Linked DNA regions of Xenopus tropicalis. The protein of the gene in region 2 interacts with the protein of the main gene of each other region in a biochemical or structural test. Links are inferred from orthologs where the notes say so. Each region holds a gene or a part of one and is shown on either strand. Other genes may lie near its edges.

What was found.
Region 1: of the proteins of srebf1 (region 2) and sirt1, one has a biochemical effect on the other in vitro, tested with the Homo sapiens proteins (2 studies listed by BioGRID, with this or other methods). The link is inferred for Xenopus tropicalis from reciprocal best matches to the Homo sapiens genes SREBF1 and SIRT1.

What each region holds. Positions count from the first base shown.
Region 1 is NC_030683.2:38,239,476-38,244,028, reverse strand, and holds the start of sirt1 (NAD-dependent protein deacetylase sirtuin-1), read right to left. Parts: upstream 2,818-4,553; coding exon 2,469-2,817; intron 448-2,468; coding exon of another isoform or gene 334-447; intron 1-333. UniProt on the Homo sapiens protein: NAD-dependent protein deacetylase that links transcriptional regulation directly to intracellular energetics and participates in the coordination of several separated cellular functions such as cell cycle, response to DNA damage, metabolism, apoptosis and autophagy.
Region 2 is NC_030685.2:15,391,371-15,394,368, reverse strand, and holds the end of srebf1 (sterol regulatory element-binding protein 1), read right to left. Parts: coding exon 2,982-2,998; intron 2,844-2,981; coding exon 2,732-2,843; intron 1,964-2,731; coding exon of another isoform or gene 1,908-1,963; exon of another isoform or gene 1,226-1,907; coding exon 1,002-1,225; 3' UTR 552-1,001; downstream 1-551.

The DNA.
Region 1 (4,553 bases), on a different chromosome or scaffold from region 2:
CACTTTCAAGAAAACAAGACCACAAGATGGTCAGAAAGCTATCAGCAGAATGTTTTGTAGCAGGGATTCTGTACCAGTTAATTTATGAAGCCCTAATAAGAAAGGTCTCAGTGGAGGTCACCACAAGTGTCCAACATAAAAAAAATTTGTGTATTTATTGTCTAATGTCCATTGGTAAGGCTGTAAGAGGAGAATGCTATAAATTTATCAAACTCAAACTAATTTTTTCTAATATAGTAAGGATAATTCTGTTATAAACTAAAGATTTTGCTAGCATGGTTATTTCTTTCTACTAGGCACAACTAGGCCTATAACAAAAATAGGCATCTTTACCTATACAGGGCCTGGGTGCCCAATCACTTGAGCTGGCATGAGATGCACCATCATCATCTTCACTGTCACAAGAATGAAAGCCACCAGCAAGATCATCATCCAGATGGATACCCGCTGTAAAAGAATTCAGCCAAGGGGTTTAAAACAAGGCATTTTCTGAAACAAAGACTGCACCAAGAACAACGTTTTCTATCCAATACACAAGTACATTTTTGTCTTTGTGGCAAAGATAACACATTTTGTAACAATTTAATAATCACTCTCAGTGAAAGGGTGTAAATGAGTGATGAGTGGGGTCACAAAATACACTTTTTCCTGGAACTCAATCTGTTAGTGACGTCACCAAGGTGGAGGCTCACAGAAAAAGATGATGGTAGGTATAACAATACCAGCACCTGGACCCACCAGAACCAGCAACCCAAACTCACCTGACCAGAGGACAGTTGATTTACACATCACTAGTGGAAATTTTAAATGTTTCGTCCACACCTCCTGAGTTGTTACTCATTGTGAGCAAAAAACAATGGGAACTGCCCTGTGTGCAGTGCTGATAATGGGAACTCATTCCCCCAAACCCTAGCACCCTCAACTAGCCTCCATTAGCCAACTCCCTGCTCCCATTCCACATGGACAATTATGCTAAAAAAGATCACAAAATGAGCAGATCTTCACCCGCTGGTCATAGGTGCTGTCAGACAATGCATCCCCAATCAGAAAACCACACCTGTCCCATCGAGATCTGGACAATTTAAGACTGTCAGTCGTGTAGGCCTGAAGGACCCGAATCGGAAGCTGAAATACCTGTGTATGGCCAGCTAAAGTGCTGCCCCAGTAGTATGGAGGCTGGAAAAGCACAGAGACAGATCAGGGAGTGGCAGTGAACTTGGCTCACCACCCACAAATTGCAACCCCTGGGTTATGCAGGTTTTAGGTCGACCTGCACTGTTGTGAAACCTCCATAAAAATGCAGAGTACCGTAGAGGAGATCATAGGTGCCATCTTCTGTTTCTTCAGATCCTCTTCATGCAACAAATCCACAATTTTTAGGATCCGGCCAAACCCTGAATCCTTTGCAAAAGATTCGGCCGAATACGGAACCGAATCCTAATTTGCTTATGCAATCTTCAGAATCTTGCTGAAAATGGCCGAATCCTGTATTAGATGCATCCTTGCACTTCACAGAACCTCCTTGCACTTCTTCAGAACCTGAGCAGTTGGAGCTACTCTGGGATCAGCTTTAACTATGCATGTCCCTCAGGCTCTGTGTCAGCAAAGTGAGGATACAAAAAGTGATGACTGTGACTCCCGTTACTCTGCATTTAATGGCAGGTTCACACACATGGACACTTTTAAATGTAACTTTGTGGGGCTAAAAGAGGCCAGTTAAGGAGCTGTTTTGGGGAGGCTGAAATTTCCTTCAGGAAGGACCCTTAAGTTTCTTTATCCTACCAGTACAAGGACAGTTAATGAGCTCTATACAGCCTATGTGTAGATAGTTAAGGCCAAGAGAAGGCAATAGCCTCCCTTTTGGGAAAAATGCCCTGAAGGGAAGAAAAGTAGTGATGTGCCTACATTTTAGCCACATCCAAGCCATTCACAGCCTGGGTTTGTACATGTGTAGTTGAGTAAAGCTCTTTGACTTGCCTGCTGTAGGGATTCCAAAGAGAAGGTAAGTGAAGATTTTACCCTGGGCTGGTGCATTTTTTTCTACAAAGGAGCAGCGGCCCAACTATAGGGTGTAAGCATAACTTTTAAGCTTTCTTGGGCAGGGCTCTCTTCACCTGTTGTATCAGTTATTGATTGCTTTATATGTTACTCTGTATGTCCAATGTATGAAACCCACTTGTTGTACAGCGCTGCGGAATATGTTGGCGCTTTATAAATAAATGTTAATAATAACTCACTCACATATACCATTGCTAATGTTTTTAAATGGAATATATGTTCAAACTTGGCAAAAGCACCTTCATTTGTATGGGTCAGTATTAGCAAATGGAAGGGAGAGAGGAGTAGCACTCTATACCCACTGATGCGCTGAATCGCCCACATTACTGCACTGAAGAACCTCCAAACACCTACAGAATATGCCCCGCCCAATGCCGCTGTTAGTAGGGAAAGAGTTAAAGGGAACCAACCTCCGTAATCAACAGCCTGATCCGACAGGTCTCCATTGGGCATCTCCTCGGCTCCGCCCTCCTCCTGGCCTTGTACCAAATACGTTCCCAAAGGAAGGCCCTGAAAGCCCGAGCCATTGTGCGCTCTGGATTTGCTTTCCATTGCCGAAGAGGCCTCGCCTTCCTCCTGGAGAGAAGCAGCTATAGGCGGCAATGCCGCTTTTCCCTCGCTTTCAGCCCCCACAAGCTGGCTCCCACCCCCGCCGGTATCTTCCAAGCGCTGCCTTTTGGAAAGGGGCTCGCCATTTTCTTTTGAGACAGCTAACACAGCGCCGGCAATGGGAAAACCTACACGATCTGAGTCCGCCATCTTCCCACTGCCAGAGAAGGAGTCGCCCATCAGCTGTACGATGGAGCGCAGCGAACCACGTGATACACCGTTTCCTATTGGTTCCCCGGCCGTGTGACGTGTACAATAACAAACTAGCCACTCGCATGGTACCTGGGGATGCGCTGGCACCGCCACAACGAACGGAGAGGGTGTTGGAAAGCGAAATCGGCAATAAAGTGTCATTTTCAGGGGTGTGTTGGTGTGGTGATTGTCAAGCCCGCAAAGCCTGTTAGCAGATACAAAAGCCAAAGGAGAGGGGCATTTTTTATAGTCCGTGTAAAAACTTTCTCTTGAAGTTGTCTCATGTCTAGGGGGAAAAGAACTGGGGAGATGCTGAAACCATTTTGGCGTCATTAATCAGTGTAGGTTAATAATATTTGGCTTAAGCATCATTTTTAGAAGCTCTGTGCATAACACATTTGTGGATGTAATTTGCCGAAATTGCCTTAAGAGGAAACTTGGGGCGACTTTGGCAAATTGCTGCGCATTGTATGCCACCCCACCAGCGATTTAAATTGTAGCCAGTGGGATGGCATTGCGGGGAGATTAGTCGCCCGCGACAAGGGAGATTTGTCACTAATCTCACCATGTGTCCCTGCCCTAAGGGGAAAGACACATGGAGCTACTAGTAGCAGCTACTTTTTCAAGGTTACTAAACTCCAGAGAATCCCCTGCCATAGACAATACTGAGAATTGCCAAAAAAAACACATAGAGACGGTTATCAGTAAATGATCAGCATTGTCTAATTTAGTAGCCACTACAAGTAGCTGCTACTAGTAGCTCTGTGTGTCTTCACCCTAAGGGCTCTGGCACACGGGGGAGATTAGTCGCCCGCGATAAAACTCCCTGTTCGCGGGCGACTAATCTCCCCGAGTTGCCTACCCCTGCCATCCCACCGGCGAACATGTAAGTCGCCGGTGGGATGGCAGACGCAGCGGGGCAATTTCAGGGAATCGCCGAAAAAGACTCGCGAGTGGGATGGCAGGGGTAGGCAACTCGGGGAGATTAGTCGCCCGCGAACAGGGAGTTTTATCGCGGGCGACTAATCTCCCCCGTGTGCCAGAGCCCTAAAACAGAATATGAACAACTAGAATGGCTATAGAGCAGTGCTGCAGTGCCGAGGGCCGGAATTTCTCTAGCATACGTGGTGGAGGGCCGCTAATGGAAGCCAGTTTTGACCACTCCCCTTTTTGAAACCACACCCACTTCAAACCACACACATTTTATCACAATGGTGGTAGCACAGCAAAATCCCAAATGCTTGGTGCTTACTGTGGGGATATCAACCATCATTCATATGTGAAAGAATTATGTCATATTAAGATATACCCTTAAATTCCATATGCCTCCTCCTCCCCTGTGGATAGCAGAGCAACCCCCAGTACATAATTACACACCTTAGGGACCATTTAATGGCTATTTCCAACTGCTAACAAACTCCCACAAACCCCTGCCAGGTTCACCTCCCACAAGCAGCATAGGGCAAGCAGAGTATTGCACACAGAGGCAGCACTCTGCCTTTCCTATGCTGTCTGTGTGTGCCATACTCTGCCTGCCCTACCCTGCCTGTGTGTACCATACCCTCCCTGCCCTATGCTCCCTGTGTGTGCCATACACACAGGCAGCATATTCCAGGCATTACCTACTGAGGTGTGAAGAAGTGAACAATGAGGGTGATTACAGCCTGAGCCTGAGGTGTGAACACTGCAGGGGT
Region 2 (2,998 bases):
TCTGTACAGGCTATGAGCAAACTTAGGGGGCTGTTCCTGCTGAATTGTGCTTAGTACAGGGGAATCCTTATGTGCCATAGTTTTATGGTATCTCTCTGTACAGGCTATGAGCAAACTTAGGGGGCTGTTCCTGCTGAATTGTGCTTAGTACAGGGGAATCCCTATGTGCCATAGTTTTATGGTATCTCTCTGTACAGGCTATGAGCAAACTTAGGGGGCTGTTCCTGCTGAATTGTGCTTAGTACAGGGGAATCCTTATGCTGCCATAGTTTTATGGTATCTCTCTGTACAGGCTATGAGCAAACTTAGGGGGCTGTTCCTGCTGAATTGTGCTTAGTACAGGGGAATCCCTATGCTGCCATAGTTTTATGGTATCTCTCTGTACAGGCTATGAGCAAACTTAGGGGGCTGTTCCTGCTGAATTGTGCTTAGTACAGGGGAATCCTTATGCTGCCATAGTTTTATGGTATCTCTCTGTACAGGCTATGATCAAACTGAGGGGGCTGTTCCTGCTGAATTGTGCTTAGTACAGGGAAACAAAGACAAATAAATACAGAAGTCACTGTATATATTTAAATATAAAATTAAATGTACATAAATCTGCAAAATGAAGTTTACCTTCCCTTAGTAAAATATGAACACACAACATACTGTGTGACCAGAAGGCTCCTTTCTATGGAGGCTCCCACACTGAGAGGACGATTCCTATAACCAGCGCAGCTTCTCCCACCCATAGTTACGCTAGCGGCGCGGCAGTTACTCAGTACAGGGAAGGCGCTGCTGCTGCATCCGTATTCCACGCAGGACTCCATGAGCGGTTTCTGCCCCTTGTGATGAGAGGGGGCATTTAGATTAAAGTGCAATATCGTAGGGCATCTGCCTGTGAAGTGGAGCAGGGAACAGTCGCCCGATGGAATTGCTATAGTTGAAGCCATTCGTTATAATTCTTCGGGGGGGGATGTTCTTGCTTTGTATAGCAAGTATAACAGGACCCCCCCCCCCTAGCTGGAAGTTACTGTGGTTCCGCTGCCCAGCGCCAGGATAATCTGCTGGCAGTCCTGCAGAGTCCGTTTGTCCCCAAGCTTCTCCAGGGTACGGGCTGCCTCGGCCAACATGCCCACTCTCTGCCCTGGGGCAGATAGAAAGGTAGGGGGCAGGTAGCGGCAGGCAAGGAGCAGGGCTTCTGCATGCTCCCGGGGTGTGGGGCTCATCTCTTGGGTGCCTGCTGGGAACAGAGAGAGGCTGGCAGGTCACTAACACATTGCAACCATGATACTAAGGCAGCAGAAGGTTCTTAAAAGGGTTTGTTTACCCTTTAAAGACTCACAGTATGAGGGCTGTGCTTATAGGGCACATTCCCTCTGAGCAAATCCATTTACATGGTATAAACACTAGGGGGCAGCACACACCCTCAGATTGCTCTGCAATAAGCTGCCATTATAATTACTGGGCAATAGGGCGGATGAATGAAATGTGCATCAGCACGGGGCAAACAGGCAAACAATGGAGACAACACAGCAAACTGAAAAATAAAAAGTTTAAATACAAATAATTTTCCAACCGATTTCTTTTTTTTTTTACACTTTTTTCCCCTTTCTTTTCACGAGTCAGAAAGATCCTCTGAGCCAATAAGCTACAAGCTAGGAGCTAAAGATGCTTGAAGAGAATAGAGTCGCGCTCGACAGTAAAAAAAAAACAATCCAGCAGTGTCATGTCAGGTGGTGCCATGCGTTCTTCTCTGGCCCTGGTGGGGTAATATGGAGGGTGAATACCCCCTCATTCTCCTCAGTGGCACAGTCCTGCATGGCTTAAGATAAGTCTCCTATGGGTGCTGCTGGCCCTGGGTAAGAGGGGCACACTGGAGAGCATCCCCGAGAGGGCGGGGCTTTCTTTAAACCAATCGGAGATTACTGACAAGGCAGCGTCGGGAGGGTAACACTGCAGCTGACCAAGCGTACCATATCTGTGGACGAAAGAGAAACAGCTTCGGTATCTCCTGGTTTACACTGGCCACTTTCCCACTACTGTGCCGTCTGTATGAGGGCCGGGAAGTTGCCACCAGGAAGGTCAGGGAGGTTACAATCCCAGCTGCTGTTAACTTCACCTCCCAGCTGGCAGGCTGAGGATTCTGGGAGCTGTAGTTGGCAACAGCTGGAGGGGGCCACAATTTGATATAAATGAACTGGGGCCCAAACTATATACTAGATGAATGCTGACATGGGGGTTAATATTGTGTGCCATACTGCAACACGGAACATGCAAAACTATCCTGTAAAATTAATATATATATAGATATTAGATATATATATATTATATATATTTATTAATACAGGAAGTGTAACATGAATGTGTATAAGGATATGGGAGATTTTGGGGTCCTAATCTGGCTTCTGCCATTGCCTTGCACCCTCTTTCTGTAGCGGCCGAAACGGCACAATCTCACACCATGCTGAACCGGGCATTAACCCCATTCTGGGCCGTCTCTCAGATTGTGTGCGTCAGAGAAAAAAAAAGCCATAGAGAAGCGCTGCCAGTCCTTATATACACAGAGGAGGCATCAGCAGAATGGGGGTTAATGCGCCAAGCAGACAGTAGTGAAATGAAGGCTCAGCGGGCTTTGCAGCAAGAATGGTTAGGGCAGTGCTAGAGGATACAGCGGCAGAGCATGGGTTAAATATATATATTTCTGTGGCTCCTATCTGGTCCTGGTCTGCCCTCTCATATATCTCACCTTCTTTGCTGGATGGGGCCACTCTCCTGCGCAAACTGCGGTCCAGCAGCTGATGTGTCCGCGTGGGGCTAGCGCCGGCCATTAGCCGAGCTGTGGCTTCATGCAGAAATACCTAGAACAGAACAAGTCATGGGGTTAGGGGGGCATCTTTAGCAACAAATGCTGCCCTAATGCTTATATACTCCCACCCCTTCTCCTCCATTTCCTGCCACTACTCCGACCTCCCCGAAGCCCGACAGATGGTACCTACCCTGCGCATGGCCGGCC